2 linked regions of the Neurospora crassa OR74A genome follow. The protein of the gene in region 2 purifies or fractionates together with the protein of the main gene of each other region. This does not show direct contact. Links are inferred from orthologs where the notes say so. Each region holds a gene or a part of one and is shown on either strand. Other genes may lie near its edges.

What was found.
Region 1: the proteins of NCU02496 (region 2) and NCU03246 purify together in Schizosaccharomyces pombe (affinity purification with western blotting; 3 studies listed by BioGRID, with this or other methods). This does not show direct contact. The link is inferred for Neurospora crassa OR74A from reciprocal best matches to the Schizosaccharomyces pombe genes cdc25 and clp1.

What each region holds. Positions count from the first base shown.
Region 1 is NC_026501.1:5,041,813-5,045,930, reverse strand, and holds the start of NCU03246 (tyrosine-protein phosphatase CDC14), read right to left. Parts: upstream 2,803-4,118; 5' UTR 2,257-2,802; coding exon 2,199-2,256; intron 1,979-2,198; coding exon 1,676-1,978; intron 1,615-1,675; coding exon 11-1,614; 3' UTR 1-10. Other genes in the region: NCU03245 (hypothetical protein), read left to right, coding at 3,625-3,656, 3,870-4,118. UniProt on the Schizosaccharomyces pombe protein: Protein phosphatase which antagonizes mitotic cyclin-dependent kinase cdc2, the inactivation of which is essential for exit from mitosis. To access its substrates, is released from nucleolar sequestration during mitosis.
Region 2 is NC_026501.1:2,517,943-2,522,024, forward strand, and holds the start of NCU02496 (M-phase inducer phosphatase 3), read right to left. Parts: upstream 2,842-4,082; 5' UTR 2,238-2,841; intron 2,179-2,237; 5' UTR 1,750-2,178; coding exon 1,526-1,749; intron 1,454-1,525; coding exon 1,380-1,453; intron 1,310-1,379; coding exon 1,099-1,309; intron 1,000-1,098; coding exon 1-999.

The DNA.
Region 1 (4,118 bases), about 2.5 Mb from region 2:
GAGAATAGGGTCACATCCCACTTATTTTACGCATTGCCGATACAGCGGCCGGACTGGTTGTCGAGTTCCCTATACTCCCAACTCGTCCACTCGTCTTTCGAACACCAGCTTCTCTGACGCTCCCAGGTGGATGGCGTTTCGCACTAGTGTTGCCTCGTATCTTGGTCAAAACTCCAGACGCGGAACTAGTGCGTGGAGCGTGGTCATGGGCCTTGATTCGTGCTGCGGCAGTACCAATGTTCTCGATATCGTTCGATGCATCATTATCCATGACTTGATAAACAGTCGTTTTCGTGGTAGCGGTTTGGTGGGTGACAGACCGTTCGGGGGGTTGTCCTGGTGAAGTTGGAGCAGCAGACTGTCTTCGCCGAGATCTTCGAAGATTCCATTCCTCCTCTGAACTCGGCCCTCTTGAGCTCTTGTGAACTGTGATCACCTCGGTTGTCACTTCTGTCATGGGAACGGGTTCTTCCTCCACAGTGGTCTGAATAGGTCCCCGGCCATATCCTTTCTGGCGATCTACTGCGCCCCGCTGCGTCTTCCTTGGCTGTCCTGGCGTAGGTGCGGGGAGGTAATCCTCTTGTACGCCGATATGATTGTCACGCGCCGACTCCCGATCGATCTCGCCTAGCGGTGTCCGAACTGATCCTCTGTTAGAGGGTGTGGACACGCCATTTTTGCTAGAGCTACGACCAAGACTCGTCTTCGACACGGCACGGACAGGGGTGCTGGGATGCGCTGTCCCGTTAGCCTGAGCGGCGGCGGCGGCAGCGGCTGCCATTTCTTTGCGCAGCCTCCGCTCAACCCGCTCCTCAATCCACCACTCCCGGAAGATGCCCTGGTTCAGATGTAACCAGTGCTGCTGAGGCCCTACGACCATGCCTGGGCGCATGAAGCGCATGTAGGCAATGACCTCGTTTGCTGTAAATCCATGTCGGTAGATCAGGTAGGCACCGATGAGGCAGCCTGTTCGGCCGAGGCCAGCTTTGCAATGAACAGCAATGCCCTTCTTCCTAGAGATGGTTTCATGGGCCATGCGGATGAATTTCCGTACGGTCGAAAGGGTAGGACATGTTCCGTCCTCAAAGATCATGTCGATGTGGTTGATTCCTAGGGCTTCAAAGTATGAGGGATTGTAGAGCTGCGAGTTCAGCCTGACGACAAGGCCGATGTCTCGCTCCGAGAAATGCCTGAGAACATTTTTGAAGGGCTGCGGCAGCGTAGGATGTGCGTCGACGGCGGCTAGGGTCTTTGGCAGAAGTGACCACTGCTCGGTCCCCTCGGGGGTGGGAGCAACCGGGGTATGCTGAGGAGAGGCAAATGCCAGGAAGTTGGGTGTAATCCAGTTGAAGTCGCCGTGCTCAACTCTCTCAAACTTTTCGTACTCGTCAAGGTCGAATGTCTCCAACACGCAGCAGCCTTCCTCCTTGGCCTTCCAAACGCCGTACACAACGTCCTGAACCGTGATGCCGTAGTCGGCCTGGCTGTAGCCGGCGTCTCTGAACGGCATTAGAGGGGGGTCAACCTGGGCGACCGGCGCAAGAGCTAGATGCGGAGGCCACGATTGGATCAAAACCATGTAGCAAGCTAGTAGACAAGAGGCATTGGCACGACCTAAGGTAACATTGGTCAGCAATCTTTGCTGTTCTCGAGGAGGCGGACTTAGATGACCTACTGCGTGGATCGGCCCTGCTCCAGAACACTACCGGCCTGTCTTTGTTCTCCTTGGCCCCAAGAATTTCGTGGAACTGCAGGGCGAAGCGGTAAAGGTGGCCGATGTGGAACGGGCCAAAATCGTGGTGGAAGGCATTGTATAGAAGAGTATCGTCGACAGTGAAGTAGTATGGCTTCTTACGCTCCGTGACCTGGTCGATTGTTCGTTGAGAGCGCTTGCGCGGGGACCGTGGTTCAGGATCCGGGTAGGGAAACAAGGTATGCTCGGTAGGAGGTTCAGAGTAAGATGCAAGGTACAATCGGTCTGTAAAGGTTAGTATACTGTAAGGCAATTGCTGATATTGTAGAGGATATTCAAAGGTGCTCATATTGGGACGAGCAGCTCCGTTGCGGAGCGGTGAACATGGGATGCGGGTGGATCATAAACATGGAGTTTTCGGACAACGGAGCCAGAAGCAAAACAAAAAAAAAATTGTAGCTTCAATTAAGAGGACCGGAGCGGCGCACAAATAATCTACACGTACCGGGAATGTACTCGATGATTTGCCCCAGATTGCTGGAGTGTCTGGAGGAAGGAGCCATGGCGTCGTGGCCTGGGAGGCTCAAAGTCGACTGTTTATGTCGAGAGAGCGATTGGCGTTGCGACAATGCGCAGGCGCACGTACGGGAATAGTGATGCTGTGCAATGCAATGAGCTACGTATAGGGAGGCGGGAGCGAAGGATGTTAAAGTCCAATTCGATCTTTTGTCGTTTGAGGGCTGTACTTGAGGTCGGCCAAAATTATGGTCGGATTGATTGACGGGAAGAAGGTGAGGTCGAGATCGCAGATCGTTTGCGCGAGCGATTGTGTGCCAACAAGGGAAAACCAAGCAGCCAAGCTGGGCTAGGTAGCTATACCGCGAGGCAAGGGACTGTGTACTGCACTGCAGGTGCGGGGTGGGATGAAAGGGCCAAAAACAAGGGCCAAAGCCTCCAAAGAAGGACGAGAGGACACCGGCTGCGAGAATGCAATTCTTGTAAAGAACGAAGGCACCGGAGGCAGGAGAATTGAAGAAACAAAGGAGTGGGCAACTCGATGATGATGTGCGAGAGGAGGAGGTCAGAAAAGACCGGTGGGTATGAGCTGGTTGCGGAGAACAGGTTTTGTAGCAGGTACGGCCTTTACCGGTACTTACCAAGAGCGGTGTTTTTGCTGGCAAGGTTGTATGTCGTGTGTGTATTGTCATTGGCAGGGACCCTGGCGAACCGGAGAACGAGCGAGACCTTCACCTCACCTTCCATGCAGAGACCGCCTCCAAGTCGCAACTGATCTTGCCCGACCGCTCTGCCTGCGCCCGGGGTTTAGCGTGGGCCAGCGAAGAATTCGGGGGGCTTGGTATCTTCCAAAACAATTCACCGCCCAATAAGCGCGTTCAAAGCTCCATCTCACCCGCCGTTGTCCTGACAACCTTCTCTCTTGGCATCCGCAGTCGCGCCTGGACCAGTAACATCCAATCGCTTCGCTCTGACGGGAGATCCCCCCCCAGAGCTCCACTTTCCAGCTGAGGTAGAGAGGGAGGTGTTGCCGGAGCTTGTCCTTTTTCTGTAAAGCCGCCATGATGCCTTTGCGCCCAGCACACGGCAACAACCGAATATCGAAACTCGTTCCCTGTTCAGCCAGCCTGCCGCCTACGACCTTGCGATAACTGTAGACGATAGTAACATCACTGCGGAATTGCCAGTGTGAGATACAGTTTGAGGTTCCTACAGAGTTTCCCACAAGGGCCTGTTATCGGTCATCACAGCCCAGGCACACTCGCGGCGGTTGGAATTTGACATTCGTCATCGGGTAGCGCTTACCACACAAACTCCCCTGACAACCGTTAGGCGAGTGCCAGTCTGAAACCCTTTGGTTCACGACAACATATTTCTTGCAAGTGTTTACTTCGGGGTTATTAAAGACCGCAACCATGGCAACCGACGATAACTTCCCCTGCTCGCTGTAGGTCATTTGTTTTTGATTGTTACTTCATTCCTTGTTCTGATATGTTTTGATCCTCTGTTTATTTTCCAATTTTTGAAATTTTTTTTTTTGATTTTTTTTTCAATTTTTCATCTTGTACCATTCGTCTCATGAGATCATCGTCACATCCTTGCTTCACTCAAACTCTGCATACCTTTCAAGATAATCGACACTAACACAGCAACCGACAAGAACACTCCGAGTGCCCTTCCCTGATGCTCGGTTAGCTTCTGTTGCCCTGCAGGCTTTGAGGGTGGACAAGGAGCTCTCCGGCCTCGTGAAGCGGGAACTTTCGACCGTTGCGTCTCCTGGCAGCGAACATGCTGGGGAGACGGTCCTGCAAGTCGACTACAAGGCCACCACAAACCGCATGCTGCGCGTTGCCGTGAATTCCTTTATGGACAGCCTAGCGTTGGTGTTGGAGGTGCAGGAGGAGATGGA
Region 2 (4,082 bases):
GCGTAGGTCTGGGCCCTACTAAAGCCCTTACGGGTCTGGCGTAGACGGCCCATTTCTCGCTCGCACGTGTTGACATGTTCGGCGTCATTCATCTCGATATACGCTTGAGGGCAGCAACGTTCCCGGTGATTCTGGAAGAATCCGCTATAGCCTCCGTCCAAGATGTAAACATCGGGGTACGTGAGTTTAGGATAAAATTCGGCGTTGATAGTGCGGTCTTCGGATCGTATGTGGCGGGCCATGATGGGCGCGCGATGGGCTGAATATTCGCAATGAAAAATCAAGAGCGTGCGCCCTTCCATAGGGGTCTCGAACAGATGTCTCGCCAAAAGCTCCTTGTCATTGTAATTGATGGCCCCGTCAATGTGGCCACCTTCATACTCGTACTCGAAGCGGCAGTCAATAATCATCCTGTGCGAGTACTGACTACCATACTTGCCGTCAAGCACTTCGAGCAATGTGTCTCGGCTGATGCGTGGGATAGAATCGTTCTCGCCTGAAGGGAAAAAATGTGGCAATAAAGGCTCCTGAGGTTCGTTGACATCCACGACAGACTTGAGACTAGATGGAAGAGATGTGCGCTCCTTAGGCTTGACAATGTCGCCCGGACTCTCAAACATGGACAGCGAGCGGCGGAATGTTTTCCTTTGCCGGGCAAAGGGGTTCGAAGGTGTGCGGGCATTGTTGGTGGGAGAACGTTTGCGAACGCTGTTAATGCTGCTGCCGCTGCCAAAATGAGTCTTGCAGCGCGCTGCCGCTGCATTAGAGCATGGACTACCCGGCAAGACAGGTGTCCGGCGCTCCTGCGGGGGTGATTCCTCGAAACATTCGCTCAATGACAACGACACCGAAGGGGAGATGGGTACCTTGAGGTTCCGGGCACCGAAGCGGAAGGGCGGCAGCCCCGACCCCGAACCGTTGGAGCGCCCGGGTATACTACTCGTGCTATAACCTTTGGCCCGGGCCAGAGGTGGACGAGACAAGCCAAGTCTCCTTCGCCTGGCAAAGAGAAGAGGAGATGATTAGCTTCTGCACAGACCAAAGGACGAGGGTAGAGTTCAGGAAGATTTGCTGATCAAAAGTCAAGCATGAACTTACTCGGCACCGATTCCCTTGGATTCTTGAGACAGCTGCCGCACAGCAGCAGGTGAGTCTGGTAGTGTGTCTTCATCGCCAGAATCCACTGCAGCCGGAGAAGGACTAGCGGCGAGACGTGACAGGAAAGGTGCCTTGATCGGTACCGGAGACATGTCCAACCTGTTAACTGCAGGTGACGAAGATGCAGGAGGCGGCGGCGTGGTTGCATACCCTACAGATCTGTCAGCGTCCGAGCTTTAAATAAGCTATGTAGCAGATTGCTCGCTCCATTGATTACTCACCACGACCTTCAACCGCGTTTTCAATACCTGTTGAGGTGAACAGCGCACGCCGTGGTGTCGGAGGTAACGGGCTACTGCAAAGTTCCATTTGGTCAACACTGTCGACAATGCTATCCGTTGTTCGACTTCTAAGTGAAAAGGCTAACCCTGCTTCATTGAGCTTGAAGTTTTCTGACGACCCGGCGACCAGCGAACCCTTAGGCGAAGACCTTCCTGCATGTTTGGTGTTGAACAAGTCCGCATTGGATCGCTTGAAGTTGAAGAGACCTGTTGGTGGCGCCAAGTTGCCATTGCGCGGTCCAAGCACTTCTGGCTGGCTGAAGGACGGCGGAGCAGGCCGAATCGCGGCCAGGGGCGATGAAGCCTCCATATTATCGTGACAACTCTCCAACCAGTTTCGACTTTCCTACGGATTGGCGTTCGGCATAGATCGGTGTTCCAATTGGTCTGTCGATGGGCCGGGTTCCGTCTGAATACTGAACAAAAGCCAATTCTTGGAGATACGACTGAAGCTTGCGCAGCACTCGAAAAAGGGTCGCCAATCGATGCTGTGGCTGGCTGATTCGCGTTCGTGGAATCGTCGTCACTGTCGTCGAGAGCTGCTATTGTCGGGTTCACCGTCGCGATGCTATGGACCTGGACACCGAGAGAAAGGTCCGCTCGAGTTGGCGCGCACGGAAGACCAAGGGGACTGGACTGGACTTGGGACTTGAAGATTGTCGCCGAGCAAGATGACAGAAAGACCTTAAGCTAACTAGTGGTGTAAACTGGACGCGCCGACATCGATGTCGATCAAAGCCTAGTCCATATCCGTCAGCCAACAATGCCTTCCCGAAAGTGCAGGCAGGGAACTCGGACCAGTTTTAGAAGCTCTGTGGTCGCCGGGATCAAACAATCTCCGTTTTTCCTTGTTCGAAAACTAAAAGTATGGTCGGTTCCGTCTAGTTGTTCAATGCCACGGGCGGTATGCAGCTGTGCAAACCTTTGCGCACGGCAGAACTTCTTTTGGCCGCCACCTGAGGTGTTCTTTTAGGTAGACAGTGGGTTCCGTTGTATTGTGGGTAGACGGGCAGTGATGGCCTGCGGCCTGGGGGCGGGGTGAACGAGGTTCGGCACAAGCGCTCAGCTGCACACGGACAGCCTGGTGGGTGACGGGATGGAGTCTTTTTGAGGACTGCGAATGGGCGACCGCATAGGGTGAACTGGGCTGGCTATGTTGAAAAGCTAGAATAAAGGTCGAAGAGCAGAACGTGCATTCGTTGTTGTAAGAAGGAGGAGCACGTAGGTGTTGTGTGCACGCATGTGTCACGGTCCAATGTTGAGTGAAAGCGAAGAGGGGAGCTGCTGTAAACATCCATCCAGAAGCTGGACGAGAACTCGCAAGTAAACTTGGACCTCGCTCAAGTGGTTGGTAGGAAGTTGACAAAATCGGATGTCTGCGCTGTTCAGTGAGCTAGCTGCCCCTGTTCAGTGGTCCCCGAAAATTGGAGGAGCACTCGGCGACGTTCAAGGTCCTGCCTTCAACTGGTTGGCGGAAGGGGCAACGAGGATGGAGGGTTGCAACGGCGTTGCACCTACGGAAGCCCAACAACGAGAACGACACCAGGCCGAGGCGGTACTGGAGTTGACGCTATCGTGGGTAGGCAGGAGCAATCGGCGCTATCCTCGACATGTTAGAGGAGAGTTTACAGCATCTTAGCGAAAGGTTTACAACATGTTATTACCCGGTTAGGTTGTTTGTAACCGGTGGTAACTGGACTGGGCTGTTACCCAGCAACCTAGGAAGTTCTATGTGGGTAGTACCTGGAGCGAGCGCTGCGCTCGGGCGCTTTCGGAGACCCCTGGCATGTGTCACTTTAATTCCCGTCGTACGGTCCCGTCTGCTGCACATTGCCCAGAGCGGGAGCTTTCCACTTGGCACTAGTGACTTCTGTCTTTCATCTCATCCCTCCTTCTTTGTTTTCGTCAGTATCATTATGCGGGCTTATTATTGCAGTGCATCATTTCATTCTTTCCGTTTACACGAGTTGCTTCTATTGCGCGGGATCGGGCGTCAACTCCGCGGCACATCCCCGGGCCTACCCACGCAGTAGAGAGGTACATAAGCGCTCGCTGAAGACTTGCATTCGGTGCGTCTTTGCGCCGAGGTACATGAACTCTGCCTTACCACGCAGTAGTACCAAGTATTCACTATCACCTCTCATCTTTGTCTAACCTGTAAAATGTCACAATTCCGCTGACACTTTGACCTGTCCTCATTATTTTTTCTACTTGCATGGTCCATACTTCTTGATTCACTCAGGGTCATTTACGCACACGGCAGCCCGGGAGGGATGACAGAAGTGTGACCTTTGAAAGGAATAGGCAAGGGATCGGAACTCGGAAACAATGTCAAAACTTTTGAACACCAAGAACCTGTTCATCGACTATTTGACGAAGAAGTTCTCGGTCTGCGCCTTCTCCTAGTACCCATCAATGATGCCCTGGAACAGCCTGACTGGTTCTACCATGTTGTGATGTTGGAAATCCAGTGGAAACATCGAGCTCGTTACAAGAATTTGAGCCATGGGACATGATTTCGCAGATAAACCAAAACCAAACTCTACTATTCACAGACTCGGTTCAAGTGATGGAGCCTGTGAATGGCTGTGTCGGAAAGCCATTTTGGTGGTGAACCACGGTTGCCTCCCGGCGAGACCCCAT